Stegostoma tigrinum: one gene and its partner. The protein of the gene in region 1 interacts with the protein of each later gene in a pairwise test. Links are inferred from orthologs where the notes say so. Each region holds a gene or a part of one and is shown on either strand. Other genes may lie near its edges.

The links.
Region 2: the proteins of cstpp1 (region 1) and ras-related protein Rab-7L1-like interact in a two-hybrid assay, tested with the Homo sapiens proteins (2 studies listed by BioGRID and IntAct). The two-hybrid records come from large-scale screens. The link is inferred for Stegostoma tigrinum from reciprocal best matches to the Homo sapiens genes CSTPP1 and RAB29.

The regions. Positions count from the first base shown.
Region 1 is NC_081370.1:51,241,885-51,250,884, reverse strand, and holds the start of cstpp1 (centriolar satellite-associated tubulin polyglutamylase complex regulator 1), read left to right. Parts: upstream 1-5,429; 5' UTR 5,430-5,559; coding exon 5,560-5,602; intron 5,603-9,000. UniProt on the Homo sapiens protein: Regulator of the tubulin polyglutamylase complex (TPGC) that controls cytoskeletal organization, nuclear shape, and cilium disassembly by balancing microtubule and actin assembly.
Region 2 is NC_081374.1:13,082,020-13,091,274, reverse strand, and holds the start of ras-related protein Rab-7L1-like, read left to right. Parts: upstream 1-5,827; 5' UTR 5,828-6,092; coding exon 6,093-6,213; intron 6,214-9,255. UniProt on the Homo sapiens protein: The small GTPases Rab are key regulators in vesicle trafficking. Essential for maintaining the integrity of the endosome-trans-Golgi network structure.

The DNA of each region.
Region 1 (9,000 bases):
CCAGTCCAGGGAAGACGGACAGGTCAAGGAGGTGGGATGAGGTTAGTAGGTAGGAGATGGAGGTGCGGCTTGGGGTGGGAGGAAGGGATGGGTGAGAGGAAGAACAGGTTAGGGAGGCAGAGACAGGTTGGACTGGTTTTGGGATGCAGTGGGTGGAGGGGAAGAGCTGGGCTGGTTGTGTGGTGCAGTGGGGGGAGGGGACGAACTGGGCTGGTTTAGGGATGCGGTGGGGAAAGGGGAGATTTTGAAGCTGGTGAAGTCCACATTGATACCATTGGGCTGCAGGGTTCCCAAGCGGAATATGAGTTGCTGTTCCTGCAACCTTCGGGTGGCATCATTGTGGCACTGCAGGAGGCCCATGATGGACATGTCATCAAGAGAATGGGAGGGGGAGTGGAAATGGTTTGCGACTGGGAGGTGCAGTTGTTTATTGCGAACCGAGCGGAGGTCTGCAAAGCAGTCCCCAAGCCTCCGCTTGGTTTCCCCAATGTAGAGGAAGCCACACCGGGTACAGTAGATGCAGTATAACAGATTGGCAGATGTGCAGCTGAACGTCTGCCTAATATGGAAAGTCATCTTGGGGCCTGGTATAGGGGTGAGGGAGGAGGTGTGGGGGCAAGTGTAGCATTTCCTGCGGTTGCAGGGGAAAGTGCCGGGTGTGGTGGGGTTGGAGGGCAGTGTGGAGCGAACAAGGGAGTCACAGAGAGAGTGGTCTCTCCAGAAAGCAGACAAGGGTGGGATGGAAAAATGTCTTGGGTGGTGGGGTCGGATTGTAGATGGCAGATGTGTCGGAGGATGATGCGTTTTATCCGGAGGTTGGTGGGGTGGTGTGTGAGAACGAGGGGGATCCTCTTTGGGTGGGGGTGGGGTGGAAGGGATGTGTTGCAGGAAATGCGGGAGACGCGGTCAAGGGCGTTCTCGACCACTGTAGGGGGAAAGTTGCGGTCCTTGAAGAACTTGGACATCTGGGATGTGCGGGAGTTGTATGCCTCATCCTGGGAGCAGATGCGGCGGAGGCGGAGGAATTGGGAATAGGGGATGGATTTTTGCAGGAGGGTGGGTGGGAGGAGGTGTATTCTAGGTCGCTGTGGGAGTCGGTGGGCATGAAATGGACAAGCTGGTTGCCTGAGATGGAGACTGAGAGGTCCAGGAAGGTGAGGGATGTGCTGGAGATGGCCCAGATGAACTGAAGGTTGGGGTGGAAGGTGTTGGTGAAGTGGATGAACTGTTCGAGCTCCTCTGGAGAGCAAGAGGCGGCGCCGATACAGTCATCAATGTAACGGAGGAAGAGGTGGGGTTTGGGGCCTGTGTAGGTGCGGAAGAGGGACTGTTCCACGTAACCGACAAAGAGGCAGGCATAGCTGGGGCCCATGCGGGTGCCCATGGCCACCCCCTTAGTCTGTAGGAAGTGGGAGGAAAGAGGGGGACTGCCTGTTTGACCAAGCAGGTGTGGATGGAAATGGCTGATAACTACAGTTGACAGAAATGTGTCCCCTGCAAAATGGAATTGTTCATCAAAAGAATCCTGGGCCACAGTACAGCATGCCAGCTGTGTGCCATAACATTTCCAGCTGACAAAGTCAACTCTTTGACCTGCCCAGAATTCTCCTGCACAACACGCATTGGGTCAACCCCTCTTTTACTGCAGGCACCTCATCAGATCAATCGATACCGATGTGAAGCCACAGTGTTTTTACCCTCCGATGCCTCTACCTCACTGTCACCGTGCACAAATTGCATACTTCCTTGCTCTAATCAGAGGCCGATGATCAGCATTTATTGCTGTCCACCAGCTACCGTCCAAGTCATGCACCATAATGTATTGCAACAATTTGCATTTTGGATTAATTGTTGTACATTTAGTCTTTTATACTTTCTGTACTCATTATCTTAAACAGATTACTACAGCGTCTCCGGTTTCTCGTCATTTTAGAACGTGCTCTACTCCATCTTTCTTGCATTCATTAGCTCTCATTTCCCCGACCAGTGTACATCATTTTCCATGTTTTCTCCACTCTCTCAATCTATCAACCTCCCTTTATAAGCTTCTGCGCCCATCTGCATTGTTTAATGTGCCGTTAATCTTGGTACTGTCAGCAAATTTGGATATCTGACTGTCTATGTTTCAGGAGAAACACCAGGTAATCTCTTGTTTTTTTACTGCAGTGTTAACAGGCATGTAATTGTAATTGAGCACTACTTAAAGAGGAGATGTGATTACTTAAGGTGTGAGGCTGGATGAACACAGCAGGCCAAGCAGCATCTCAGGAGCACAAAAGCTGACGTTTCGGGCCTAGACCCTTCATCAGAGGGCCCGAAACGTCAGCTTTTGTGCTCCTGAGATGCTGCTTGGCCTGCTGTGTTCATCCAGCCTCACATTTTATTATCTTGGAATCTCCAGCATCTGCAGTTCCCATTATCTCTGATTACTTAAGGTGATTGTTATAAACTGGCAAAACATAGTATGATTTAATGATTTAAAGAACTAGCTCCCCAGTTTCTTAATATCTTCAATAATTTTTTGCAGAGGAAATTGTGTCAGATAATTTTTTGACTTTTTACTCTCAGTTTCAGCACTAAGTGCTTTCAGGATGAATTCATGCAGTAGAATTGTTACTTCTACAAATTAACATTATCTTTCCCTTTAGTATAAATATATTTAAAATGCAATCATATGGTGAGCAAGCTTACTGCTTCCTCATTATTTCTTTGTCCAGCTTCGGGAGAAATAGAAGTAAAGTAACTATATTTTCTTTGTCACGTTGCCACTCAAAGTTTTAGGGCTGACCTCCTTAACTCTCCAGATGGCAACCTGAATTTAAAAAGCCACAAAAAAGAAAAACTTCCAGCGTCAAACAAAATGTCTCAAATGTTAACATACTCTGATGTCAACAAGGCCACTGTAAAATGGATTTCTTAGGATTTTGCTAAGTGCAACAATGAAAGTGGGACCTAGGAGAGCCACAAATAAACACAAATAGAAATTGCTGGTAAAAACTCAGCAGGTCTGGCAGCATGTGTGGAGAGAAAGCAAAGTTTTGGGTCTAGTGACCCTACTTCAGAATGAAGTTCTTGAAGTTCAGGAAGTACAATAATTGGCATTCAATTGTTTCTTAAGGAATTCTGAGGATTTTTCTCAATGGAAATCATCCACTCTTTATGAGGAGTATTTCTGGACATTCATCTTAAACTTACATTCATTGTGCCTGTGATCTTTTCTGAATTTACTTTTACAAATCAATACCACGAAGCTATCAACCAAGATCTTAGTGAATAGTGGAGAAGGTTTGAAGGACTAAATAGCCTACTCCTGCTTTTATGTTCCTACCTCCTCTCTGCCATTATTGACTCTTATAATGTCACCACCTTTCAAAGTAAATTGGAGTCATTTTTCTCCAACGTTCTTCATAACTGAGTTCTCTGACACCAGTCTCTAATTCTTTTTCTAAGTCACCATTATTGATTGAATGCTTCCCTTATGTTTTACTATCTAGAATCACTTGTAATATTCTAGTCTGACTTGGACCATTGGACACTTTACCGATTTACATTCCATAATTTTGTCCACATAATAAGGCCACCCAGTGGCTAGCACTGCTGCCTCACAGCACCAGGGATCCTGGTTCAATTCCACCCACGGGCGAATGCCTGTGTGGAGTTTGCATATTCTCCCCTTATCTGCATGGGTTTCATGCAGCTGCTGCAGTTTCCTTCCACAGCCCAATGATGTGCAGGTTAGGTGGATTGGCCATGGGAAATGCAGGGTTATGGGGATAGGGTTAGGGGGTAGGTCTGGGCGAGATGCTGTTTGAAGAATCAGTGTGGACTCGATGGACCGAATGGTCTGTTTCCACACTGTGGGGAAACGTTATGATTTCAGTGATGTTGATTCCAATTCGTCAATTATTGCATTAATAATGCATAGTACAAAATGATGTAGAATAAACAGCCTTAAATGTTAAAAGATGTGTTGATGCCCCTATTTTTTTTCTAATGTGGAAAATGATTTGTTTGATTGGGTTTTGAAGTAGTACTCTCCATGATAGTACTGATCTGTGGTCACTTACAAGTACATTTACCTGTGTGTATGAAGTTTATGGATTCAAGTCCCACTCGAAAATTGAGCATAATATTTAAATCACTCGAGAGCAGTTTTGGAGGAGTGGTGCATGTGTGGTACTGTTTTGAAGTAATTTCTCAATCAACGTCACAAAAATATATTATCGTCATTTTGCAGCTTGTGGGAGCTTGCTGTTCTCAATATGATTTGCATTTTCTGTATTATAATCTTCAAAAGTACTCCTTTAACTGTTAGTGCTTTGGAGCATTCAATGACCATGAACAGTGATACATAAATGCAAGTTTGATATAAACATTGTACAGTAAATGTACAAAGAGAACAAAAAAAAACACAAGTTGAATGGTTCCTGAGTATGGACCCAATAGCTCTAGATATAAAAATTCTGTTAACTTAAAGTTTAAAAAAATTGTAAGAGTCATAAAGTCCTGCAGAATGGAGACCATTCCTTTGGCCCAAATTGTCCACACCAACCAAAACGTCCATTCACTCTAACCCATTTCTCTGCATTTGGCCCATATCCTCCTAAACCTTACTTATCCATGTATTTGTCCAAATGCCTTTTAAATGTTGTTAATATACCTACCTCAACCACTTCTGTTGGCAGCTCATTCCATATGTGTACCACCCTCTGTGTAAGAAAATTGCCCCTTGGTTTCGCATATATTTTTTTCCCCATTACTGTAAACTGATTCCCTCAAATCTTCAATTTCTCTGACCTGTCCTTTCAAATGGCTATTTCCCATTAGAGTCATAGAATCCCTACAGTGTAGAAGCAGGCAGTTTGGCCCATCAGGTCCATATCGACCCTCCAAAGAGGATCACACCCAGAGCCAATGCCTCCCCTATCTCTGCATTTCCCACTCTAGACACTGGGCAACTTAGCATGGCTGTGAGACTGTGCTATACATCATCCCCAAAATCAGTTCTTCTGGAGCAGCCACTGCATTTAGCTGTCTCTGGCATTCCCTGCTTAAATGTTTTGCTTTGCCACCTCCCTTCCCAATTGGAAAACCCTTCACCCTGTCTTTCACTTTCTCCCTTCTGGCATCTGGGCTCCCATTGCTACCTGAGCCCAGTTTTAGTTTGCAGGAGTACTCTAGTACTGTGTGGGACATGCAATTGAATGCAAGGCAGCAAGTTAACTTTTGCCATGCTTTCTAAGAAAAGAAAACAGCGAATGAAACCTTTAGTCTGGGGCGGGGGAGAGAGGGGGTTATTTGTGTTTTAAACCCGAGCTGTGCACATCCTTGCAGCACGCTGGAGTGAGATTTCTGAGCTGGGACTTAGGCAGGCTCCTCTCACAACAGGAACCATAGTTCAGGGGCCTGGAGTGCTGAGAGGGGGAATCTTTTGCGGTGGCACGTTTCCGGAGAAGCCTGCTGTTATGGTAACAGCAGAAGCTGGTGCGGGTTGTAGGTGTTGAGGAGAAAACGGCGGATTTTCTCTCGGTATCTCTTGGTTCTGACCTGGGTGGGAGGATGAACGCGGACCGATTCTCAATGTCGGCTGAGGACTACCTGAGTGAGTAGTGAGTCCTGGCCTCTGTCACGATGGTCCTTCACATGGGTCCTAGCCTCAAACATTCTCCCTTTCTCTCTCCTCCTTCCCCTTCTGCAGAACATTTCCAGCAATTTTCTCTGCTCCTCTCTGTTTTGATTCCCTCCCCCTTTAAGTTTCACATTCCTTGCAAGCTTGAAATAAAAACAGTAAATTGCTGGATAAACTCAACAGGTCTGGCAGCGTATGAGGAGTCAGAGAAACGAGTTAATGTCTCAAGGCCAGTGACCCTTTTAGTTTATTGTTTTATGATTTTTTTTGTTAAAGCTTTCTCTCCTGGTGGTTCTCCCCGCCCTAAAAAAAAAGCGTTTTGGAACATCCGTTGGGAGTCTGGTCTTCGGGGAGTTGCCATGACCAGGCTCTCTTGCCCTCTGATTGGACCACTTTGCCCTGGGCACTGGCATCTGTGATGGTGGGGACCCTTGGGAGGAGTCAGCCTAGTTGGAATTTATGGCTGAATGGCCTTCTCCCATTCATTCAAGTATGTCTCCATACTTCAGTCTCATTGTCAACACCACTTTCCTGTCTGCACCTCCATAACCCTCGATTCCTTTGCCTATCAAGGTATGAAGGTCTCCGTGGCATTATTGGAATAAAGTTACTTGTATTCCAGCCTTATGTTGGGTTCTGATATTGTGACGGTCATGTTCATGCACTCCTCTCACTAGTTGACTGGTTGTCGATCACCATTTTTGACTAGATATAGTTAGGGTAGAGGTTTTGTTGTGATGCCATACTTGTGGACCTGCTTAGCTCTGTCTGTAGCCAGCAATGTTGATGTTATGTTTTGTATGCATGTAGTACTGTGTAGTAGTTTCAGTTGAATGTTAGGCAACGAGGGTCAGTGTTGAGAATTGTCAGCTCTGTGTCTTCTTATGTGACTTCATCTTGCGACTGTCCACTGTTGATGGGCGAGAAAACACCATGGATGATGATGGAAGATTCTGGAATGCTGGTACATTGCTACAATCCTGTGGAATTTTACTATGTCAGTCTGTTGCCCTCCCCCCTCTGGTGGGGTAGTTCTCCTAATGTTGGTATAAATGCTCAGATGTTCTTTCTTTCTTTTACTGTTGGCTACATAATATTAAACATGGAATTGGCCCTTTTCACAAAGTAATTTGATTGCCCAAGTTAGAATTCATTATTGTTTACAGAATTATGTTTTCATACCTTGACTTTAATTTATCACTTAAAGCTGCTTCATCTGTTCCTCTGTATGCTTCTTTAATTTCATTGGCCCCATTCTCCCTCTGGACCTAGAATTTGTGTAGATTCCCCTTGCCTAATGATCACGTTGTTTACCCCATTTGCAGTGTTTTCACCTTATTCTAGCATTGATCAAGATCACCTGAGTTATTCTACTCATAATGCTGATCGAATCTGATCTCTGTCTTTGGTAGAATCTTTGAAGTGCACATTCGCACTTGAGGCATTTTAGTCATTCATTCCCCAAGTTAATATCTTTGTTTGCCTTATCATTATTTCCCTGGATGCTCCATATCCTTTTACTATGAACCTTCTGTTGATAGTTTTCAGAATTATGTGCACTGGTCCTTGTTTTGTACCATGTCTTCTTCATATTATTCACTTCTTAACCTTCCCTTCACCCTTGTTGCAAAGACATTGGTTCTGATCTAGAATCATAGAATCCCTGTAGCATGGAAACAGGCCCTTCAGCCCAACAAGTCCACACCAACCCTCAGACATCCCACCCAGACCAATCCCACTATAACCCACCTAATCTACACGTCCCTGAACACTGGGCAATTTAGCATGGCCAACCCACCTAGCCTGCACACCTTTGGACCGTGGGGGGAAACCGGAGCACCCAGAGGAAACCCATGCAGACACAGGGACACTGCAAACTCCACACACAGTTGCCCGAGGGTGGAATAGAACCTGAGTTCCAGTGCAGCAGTGCTAACCACTGATCTGAATCTGATGAATGACCTCCCATTAGGGTGGCACAGTGGCTCAGTGGTTAGCACTGCAACCTCACAACGTCAGGGACCCAGGTTCGGTTCCAGCCTCGGGTGACTGCCTGTGTGGAGCTTGCACATTCTCCCCGTGTCTGCGTGGGTTTCCTCCAGGTGCTCCGGTTTCCTCCCACAGTCCAAAGATGTGCAGGTTAGGTGGATCGGCCATGCTAAATTGCCTGTGGTGTTCAGGGGTGTGTGGGTTATAGGGGGATGGGCTGGGTGGGATGCTTCATGTGGCGGTGTGGGCTTGTTGGGCCGAAGGGCCTGTTTCCACACTGTAGGGAATCTAATCTAATCTGTATTGTTATTATCTTTCCCAGAGCTTGTTTCAGCAATGTAGAAACCAGAAACCTGCTTTCTGTGCCATCTGTTTAATCATTGATTGTTCATCACACAACATTGTGAGTAATCCTAAATTTACCATAATTAATATAGTTATAATTAAGTAGTAAGTCCTGGACAACATCCTGGACTGATAAATGATAACTAATGTTAGTGCCATGCAAGTGTGAGTCAAAGATCATCTCTGATATGAGAAGATTTAACCATCTTCCGTTTATGTTCAATGGCAATCCCATCACTGAACTCCCCACTATCAACAACCTGCGCGTTATCATTGACATTAAATGGAATAGGATCAGCCATACAGACAATGACTATAAGAGGAGGTCAGAAGTTAGGAATTCTGCAGTGAGTGACACAATCAAGAAAGCTCATGGACTGTGGGCATATATATATCTAAAGGACTGGAGCACAAGGGTGCAAAAGTTATGCTGAAGTCATGCTAAACCCTAGTTAGACCTTACTTGGAGAACTGTGAGCAGATCCTGGGACCACGTCTTAGAACCATACATCAGCCTTGGAGGGGGTACAGTACAGGTTATAAGAATGATTCCTGGATTTCAGGGGTCATCAGGAGAGATTATCCAAATTAGGCCTGTTTTCTCTTGAATTTAGAAGGTTAAAAGGTGATCTGATCGAGGTCTTCGAGATTATTAACAGGGAATAACAGGGCCCACTTATTGGATACTCTACAACTAGGGGCATAGTCTGAGAATTAGGGCCAGAGCTTTAAGGTTAGATATTAGGAAGCTTCTGACACATGAAGGATAGGAGAGGTTTGGAACTGTCTTCCTCAAATGGCAATGGATGCTCAATCAGTTGTTAATTTAAATCTAAGATGCATTTTTGTTAAACAAAGGTATTAAGGGATATGTCTTCTTTAAACCGGTTTGGTTTCTATTTCCCACCTTACATTGCCTATTACTTCATGCAGCAAATTAGCTAATTACTTTAGCTCTACTAACTTGACTGTTTTGATCCACATCGTTGAACTATCGGGGCTACAACACCTTTTCATCCCTTATGGACCACTTCTAC
Region 2 (9,255 bases), on another chromosome or scaffold:
CTTCATATAATGTCATTAAAATCTTTCCTGTGGATATGCCTTATTGATGTGTGGATGCATATATAGGGTATAAGCATAAACCATAGCTACCTGTGCTTGATGTTGGTATAAATGTGCTCGTGGAGCTGTGTGTGCCTCAAATCCAATTGATGAAGGGTTATCACAGCCTTCTTGAAAACCTCTGCATTAATTGCTTAGATGTCAACTTTTGTTGCAGTTCACCTTTGTAGGAAAATATCAGATGACTCTTAATTAATTACTGTTGCACAGAAAGTTATGGACCATAACCATCTACAGTATCCATTTGGTGAATTTTTTTCTATTATCCACAGTTCCTGATTAATCTGACACTTTTTTAAAGAAAGGATACGTCAAATCATAATAGTTACCTCCCTGTTTTCTGAAGGAAATTACATTCATTCTGAAAATTCAAATGTTTTCTTTTGGTATTTAAAAAAAACACAATTATGTCCCTGGGCATCAGTTACCCCAGTAAGTGATTCTACTGAGGAGTGCTAACAGTATATAAGTACTTTAACAATTGTTAAATCTGTTTGAAAGAATTATATCTATAAATGAATGTGCACACACTGTGTAAAATGAACAAGTGGAGGGTATAGTTGTATTTTTGCAGACCAGGCAAGATTTTAAAATGTTTGGGCTTCCTTTTTTTTTAACTGTTCTGTTAAACAAGAGAAAATTGCCAACTTAATTGTGATTATTCTGTTTGTCGGTGACATCTGACTAATCCGGGATGAAGAAAATCAGGATAATTGCACTGAATCTGCTAGTTTGCCACTGTTACGGTCAATTGGACCAACAAAGAAAAAGTATATTCAGTGCAATCATTCAGTCAGTCTTAAAACTATCACCCCACAAGGAAACAAGTTACATTTTGCTATCAGAGTTTGTCGCCTGTTCTGATTTTTGTTTTTTGTCTGTGCTCTTGTCACTTTTTTTTTTCCTGTGGGATTAAATCTATAAATGTATGACCGAATCAGAATATTTGTACTGACAAACTACATTTGTGTTGTCCTAATTTTATTCTTGTACTGTGAATGGAATTTCTTCCAGATCCAGCCCTGTCGTGCTCAGTATCCTGAGCCAGTTTCCTGCACAGTATAGCCAAAATTAATATTTATATTCTAAATTGCCAAGATGTCGTGAACGTTTTGGGAGTCTGTATTTGATAAAAATAAAATGTCGTACAATGGTGAACTTTTTTATTTTTAATCTTTGCCTTTTTCATTCCTCTGCTACTTTTGATTATGGTGCCTAGACACTGGTTATTACAACAGCTTCTTCTGGAGTGTCATGGCATTGTGATTTTTCAATGTGTAAACCACTCAGATGTATTATATCGTCACTAGGAGGTCCAAGCGTAATTTGTTTTAGGTTTTAAAATTCTCAGATGCATGTTGGAATTCATGCAATTTCCCTCTATCTCTTTTTAAAAATTATGTCCAATTGAATATGCTTGTCAAATCTTGTATTCTGTTGCCGTCCAACAATATGCATCTTTCAGCAAGACTCAAGGGAGGGCAATCATGTACAGAAACCTGGCTGAAATCTTCTCACCTCTATCCTCAATAATACCAATTGTAGCATCCTTCTTGCTAGCATAACTGAGTTGGCACAGATTGGACACTGAACATGGGCATTCTGGTTTGTAAAACACAATGCTGCACTTGACAACAAGTATCCAACATATGCCACTGGGGAAACAGCTTCTATTGTCTTGGAAATCTCATCAGTACTGAGGATGTGGGAGATGGTCTGGAACTGGAAACAAAGCAAACAATGGTTGTGACTTTGACAGGAGTACAATTTCAAGAGTGGTAGAAAGCAGCGAGGGTATCGTTTGTTTCCCGTTGTTAAACATATACTACAATTTCAAGGAGTTTGAAATACGATGTGGATAAAACTGCACATTTATTTTGGAGATAAGAGATAACAAAGTGTGGAGCTGGATGAACACAGCAGGCCAAGCAGCATCTTAGGAGCACAAATGCTGACGTTTCGGGCCTAGACCCTTCTTCAGAGAGGGGGATGGGGAGAGGGTTCTGGAATAAATAGGGAGAGAGGGGAGGCAGACCGAAGTTGGAAAGAAAAGAAGATAGGTGGGGAGGTAGGGAGGGGATAGGTCAGTCCAGGGAAGACAGACAGTCAAGGAGGCAGGATAAATAGTAGGTAGGATATGGAGGTGCGGCTTGAGGGGGGAGGAAGGGATAGGTGAGAGGAAGAACAGATTAGGGAGGCGGCGACAAGCTGGGCTGGTTTTGGGATGCAGTGGGGGAGGGGACGAGCTGGGCTGGTTTTGGGATGCAGTGGGGGAAGGGGAGATTTTGAAAATACGATATGGATAAAACTGCATATTTATTTTGGAGATCAGCTCTGTATACCAGAGTTGCTCATTTCAGTCTGTCTTACTAAACAGATGGGCATAGTGAATAATTTACAAAAAGCACAAATTGATTGAGTCCTGATGATTGCTATGTAGCAATAAGAAGTATTCCAATCAGAACATCTTCATTAGTGATACAAGGGATCCCCATGTGCTGTGGCACCATACATCTGTAAGGTCTAATTTTCTAAAGAATCCACAGAATCTCTACAGTGTGGAAACAGGCCCTTCAGCCCTCCCCTGTCACCCACCTAATCTACACATCCCTGAACACTCTGGGAAATTTAGCATGGCCAAGCCACCTACCCTTTGAAGTGTGGGAGGAAACCCATGTAGACATGGGAAGAATGTGCAAACTCCACACACAGTTACCCAAAGTGGAATTGAATGCAGGCTCCTGGCGCTGTGACGCAGCAGTGCTAACCACTGAGCCACCATGCTGCCCTAAATTTGTCCAGATAATTGTTGTAAATTTCTAATATAACATCCTGGAATTCCCTCCCTAATAGCATTGTGAGTCTACCTACAGCACGTGGACTGCAGTGATTCAAGAAGGAAGCTCACCACCACCTTCTCAAAAAGGTAACTAGGAAGAAGCCATAAATGCTAGACCAGCAAGGCGCACTCACATTTCATATATAAGGAAATAAAATAAGTCTTGGAAATAAATGGCATCTGACACCTGAAGTTAGCATTTTTGGTGGAGTCTTTTTTAAAAGTCTGAAGTGGGACAGGAGGAAATGGAATTTCTAAATATTAACATCTTCCTATTGAAACCAGCTAGTATACATTTACAGTGGGTCCTCACCATTCACTGGAGGAATGTTTCAGAAAAATCTGAATAGCAAATAAATGAAAAACAGGGATTTGTTTCATATAAGAATTAATAAGTTTTTGGCAACAAGCAAAATAACATCAATGATTATGCTGAAAATTGTTCCCTCGTAAAGTAAGGTACATATGCAAAATAAAGAATATTGGACTAACAAACAGACCCACTACCCAGTGGAGACAACAGCATTTACATGGCACAAGGGTGCTTCACAAGTGCACTATGAAACAAAGTTCAATGCCAAGCTACATCGAGGTGGATGATCAAACATTTGGTCAGAGATACGTTTTGAGGAGCTTTGTACAGCTAGAGAAAGGGAGAGTTGAGTATTCAAGAGGCCAGAATTAGACAGCTTTGTACTTAGTAGAATTGTAGGCCTGGAAATTACAGGAGAAGAGGAAGAGTGAGGCCATTGGAGAATTTCAAGAGAAGTTTGAGAAACTTAAAGGGGAGACGTTACTCAATTTGGTGTCAATGAATGTGATTGAATGGAACTTGGTGAGAGTTCATAGGCAAAAAATGGTAAATATAATATACAAGAACAATTTGAAACAGTTTTACTACAAAAATCACACACAAAATTCTTTTAACCTCAACAACAATGTTACAGATACTCATTAAGCATGAGGAAGTAAGTCATGCTGACAGCAGATCACTTAAGATTATTTTAATCAAACTGTTTGAACATATTATGACACACCCTCAGGACAGGTGAGACGTGAAACCAGACCTCTGGCCCAGATGTAATGATACTGCCATTGCACCACAGTACCCCATAGGGGGTCAGTTAACTCGGTGACTGGATACCTGGTTTGCGATGCAGAGTGACGCCAACAGACTGGTTCAATTCCAATATCGGCTGAGGTCACCACGAAGGTCAACCTTCTCAAATTCTCCCTTCACCTGAAGTATGGTGAACAAAGGGTTATGCTCACCACCAGTCATCTCTCCACTGAGAGAGCAGCTTTGTAGTCCTCTGGGACTACAGTGACTTTACCTTCCATTTAGAGGTGTTCACAACTCAATGTAGGGCAAACCTATTTCCACTTTAAAATTCCTTGTTCAGGTGGCATAGTTTTAGTTAATTTCTGGAGGTTTCCTCTTACTGACATAAATACTTTAAAGCAAACACATATCCTCATCTCCCAGCAGTTTTCTGCCTTGTCTTTAAGCTTAGCACTTCAGCTTCCACTGTCTTGTATCTACAGACACAAACGCTTTGACTTTCTGGCTGCTTTCTCTTGCACAATTCAGGACTGTTTTGGAGATTGCTAAATTAACACCACCTTTTCTCTCTAACTGAACCTGCATACACCCTGACCTTCCAGATGGTGTGTCATTCTGTGATAATTGACTCTTGACACTAGGGAACTGCAGTGTTTTTTCTTTCCTGACCATTTTTCCTAATAATTTCCTATTATACCTTAAGTTCAACTGCAAGACTACATACCCTCATTAAAAATGCCTACATTAACAAACTTCAAATACCTCCGTGTCATTTCAAACAAATCTAAAATGGAACTAAAACCATGACTCCTTTTGGTACACAATATAGAAATACAAATCAAAGTTATACATGATTATTCTTTTTTAGAATGCAGGTTTTCAAATAAGATGAATTTTCATCACATTTTAGATAACTGAAACTGAAAGAAATGCTGATCAGATTGGAATTCATTTTTCTAGAGGAAAGAAGGCTAAGAGATGCTGTGATGGACATATTTTAGAATGATAAGACTTAATAGGATAGGAAAAAAGTAATGTGCACTTATTCATCACCTTTAAAATAATAAAATGTTCCAAAGTGCTTTACGGTAGTTTTATCAAAAACATTTCACACAGTTACATATGAGCAGATTTTTTACTGTTAGGGCTGAATTCCAGAGGTGAGTGATAACCCTTGACGTCAAGGAACCCTAGCAAAACTACAATCAATGGGTGTCAGGAGGCAAACTCTCTGTTGGTTGGAGTCATACCTGGCATAGAGGAAGATGGTTGTGATTATTGGAGGTTAGTCAGCTCAACTCTAGAACATCTCTGCAGAAGTTCTTCAGACTAGTGACCTAGGCCCAACTATCTTCAGATACTTCATTTATAGCCCTCCCTCCATCATGAGGTCAGAAGTTGGGGATGTACACTGATGACTGCACAATGTTCAGCACCATTCGTGAGACCTCAGATACCAAAGCAGTCCATTTTCAAATGCCATCCAGGCAATGACCAGGCTTGGACTGAAAAGTGGCAAGTTCATGCTACATAAATACCAGACAATGACCATCTCTATTAAGAGGCCATCTGAACACCACTCCTTGACATTCAAGGATGTTACCGTCACCGCACTTCCTACTATCAACATCCTGGATTACCACTGGCCAGAAACTCAACTGGACTCGCCGTACAAAAGTCATAGAGTGGCACGGTACCATAACAGACCCTTCGGTCCAGCTTCTCTCCCGGCTCTAAACACGCCCAGAGCGGTGCATTTCGGGAGTTGTAGTCCTTCCGCCGTGGGATCGGAGCGGGCGTGGCACTTCCGCCCGGCGAGCGGCGAACTACGGTTCCCAGAGTGCACCGCCGGCGTCTGGGTCCACGTGACCGCGTCCTGGATGCGGGCGGAAAATTTACAGCGCGTCCCGTGAAACAAAAAACAAACTTAACGAGGGCATCGCGACGCTGTTCATTCTCCCCCGCCCCTCCTTACACCACCCGGGGTGTAAGGACGGTAAATTAAGTGGGGTGGTGCTTTTTTTAAAAAAAAAGGGGAGGGGATGTTGTCTCCAGGGCCTCAGGGAGGATGTTTATGACGAGCTCCAGTTGCTGCATCTTCCCTCATTCAGTCAGTGTTCTCTCTGCAGTATGGCGAATGACTACCTGTTCAAGGTGCTGGTCATTGGGGACTGCACGGTGGGTAAGACCTCCCTGGTGCAGCGTTATGCTAACGACAGCTTCAGTAAGAACTACAAATCCACCGTGGGAGGTAAGTGTGTGTGTGTGTGTGTGTGTGTGTGTGTGTGTGTGTGTGTGTGTGTGTGAGAGAGAGACACACACTTTTTGTTGTTTGCTGCAATAAGGTGGAGGGATGAGTTGTACAACTTCCAAACTTGTTGTTATGACTTGAAAGTTGCACCAGCCAGAGTTGGTGGTATTTTTTGGGGGGGTGTGGAAGATTTTTAAAATAGCCCTGGCAGGAATTGGAGTGAAAAACAAAACCATAGAGAAGTACTGCGGTTGCTGCAAAGTTGAAATAAAAACAGATGTATTATCCGGAGAAACTCAGCGGGTCTTAGCGCCTGGTGGCCTCAGAAGCACTTGACCTTTTCAGGTCCAATATGAATTCTGAAGGGTCGCTGGACTGGAAACTTTACTGTCTCTCTCCCCAGATGCTGCCAGACCTGCTGAGTTTCTCCCAGTAGTTTCTGTTCTTGTTTCATGACTTTCTCTCAATTAGAGAACAAAATAGCATCATAACTAACTTAGCAAATTGGTAAAGTTCTCCACTGTTGTTACTCTTCTTTGAATGTTGCTCTCTTTCTGGGCACCCTCACATTTATGAGGTCTGTGCTTTCTTCCAACTCCCCACTTCACCACCCCCAAACAAAAACCAGTGGAACTGCCACTATTTCCCAGCTGTTTTCAGTTCTGACAGTCACTGAACTTGAAACATCAATTTTAATACACCTGACAGAACAGAAATTTATTGTCCTAGATGCAGTCATTCCCCCTGAATTTCACAGGTACTTTCAGTTTTGCTTCTCTCCTAGTTTAATGCCTTTGCTTCTTTCTATAACTGTTTTTAGGCCTTTTTTAAAGGTGCCGAGTAGGAGGATAACAAGTTTCTTCTTCTTCTGAAACTTGGTAACTTTCAGTACCAGTATGATTATATAATGTAATGCAGAACAAAATTATTCAGTCCATAGTCCAATAAGCACAGACAATCAAATTTAGAGAGATAACACTACTCCTTTCCCTGTAACTTTTGCTTGCTTTCAATTTCCTTTTATTTGTTACCATTAATCTAATCCTGCCTTCTGTTTTAAACAGTGCATTCCAGACTATGATAACACAAATGCAATTTCTAAATCTCTTCTCAGGTTGTTGGCCTTCCTGTGAGTGGAAATTGTTTTTAACTTAATTATACTAGTGCTCATTTTGAACCTTGAGCTAGTCGTGATATTACTTAGCTAATTAGAATATATAATTTACTGTCCTTTTTAAAGACAGTCAGCTTTAAATTAGGTGCATAGAAGTTTTAAAGTGCAGTTGGAACACTTAAAAAAATCACTTTAATGTCTACATTAACAAAAGAAAATAATTTTCAGATATCAATGAAATTGTGTTTTTTTAAACAATTTCCCACTTCTTTTCTTGTACCTTGACTTGGGATTTGATAAATGATTCCCTTTCTCTGCTTGCCTCTCTTTTTTTCTTATTCCTGTTCTCAGCTGAGCCAAGGGGTTTGAACAAACCCATCATCTTGCAAATCTTGAGCTTTTATAATTGTAGTTTCATAAGATTGATTACAAATAAACCACTTAATATTTCAGTTTATAATAAAATAATTTAGAAAAGTTCCTGAAGTGAAAGTCCACAGACATGATAAAAGGACAAGTGAGACCACTGCTTCTAAAGAGGTTGCATGCAAATTTCTGCTTTGCAAACTAACCTTTTCCTTGGGTTTTCTGTTTTTAGTTTTAGAACCTGAAGTGCCCAGTCTGTTCTTATTGTTAACCTGCACTCCTTTCTGTCAAAAATAAGAGCATGGCTTTGTGATCAGTATATTGATTGCTGTGTATCTTTATTGTACTGTATGAGTTAAAAGCAACTTGTTCTGAATTCTTTACAAATTTAAACTGTGCTAGAATAATAAAGTATTTTAACCATGAGCGGTCCAGATTGAACGGCAAACTACTCAACCTATGAGTAAGCGGCTGTTCTCTACCAAGGAAATCTATTGTAGTGCAATATACCAAGTGTGTAACTCTGAGGTGGAAATTACTTGTCTGTGTGACTAGTTGGAGGTTTTTGTAGGAATGTGAGCAATGTTTCAGCTGAGTGTTTGTGAGCTGAATTAAGTTGCTAATGACACATTGCACTTTTACACAATATGGGCAGAGCTATGTATGAAGAAATGGTTTTGAAGATTAAGATTTGACTTTTTTTCAGGGCAAATGGGTGAAAGAGAAGCTTTAATTGACAGAAGTTAAGCAAAATATTGACCCCATAAAGACTAATTATTTTGTTTGTTATAAGGGTCATAATTCTCCAACAGGTATATATTTATTTTTTAAAAACTGCTTAATACAACTAAAGTTGGAGATTGGAAGTGAAATCAGACCAAATTCTTAAATTGCATTTGAGGATGTGGTTGACAGACAGTTTCACAAAATTATCATGTCTGATAACTGAAAAGATGAGATTTGCAATTTGGAGAAGCAGTTGAATTGATTGGAAAGACTGGTGGGTTAATTTAAAAGCATATGTGCTGCACAATCAAATCTCAAGTTGACAATTTCATAATAATAGAGTAATCCTATTTTGTAAGAAGCTTTAGATTAACTCTTAACAAACCATGGTTTTGTAATTCGTTTGTGGTTGACAAGGTTTTATCCTTGTGCTTGACTAATGACCTGTAGACCTCTTTATTTTTCCCCAGAAACTGTAGTAGTTCTGGTTGTATCAAAAGCGCAGTAGCATGTCATTTTTAACAAGAGTATTTAAAACTGAATAAACACGGTCAGCCTTAACTCAATGTGGTAGCTTAATAATATTTGTTCTTTTTTTTTGAGAATGCAGCAGTAATTGCCACCGCTTGTTTGTTTTTAGAAAAAATTACTGCACATGGGCTGTGTTTTTAAAATTGACCTGCCTCTCTCTCTCTCTCTCTCTCACATCCAATAAGGCACTTAAGGTTACATAATGGATACATCTGCCAACTTTTAATTCCCCTCATGAGAATGAAAGAATGCCTGAGTAAAACATGGGCATTGAACTGAATTAAAATAGAGATGGAAACTATAGC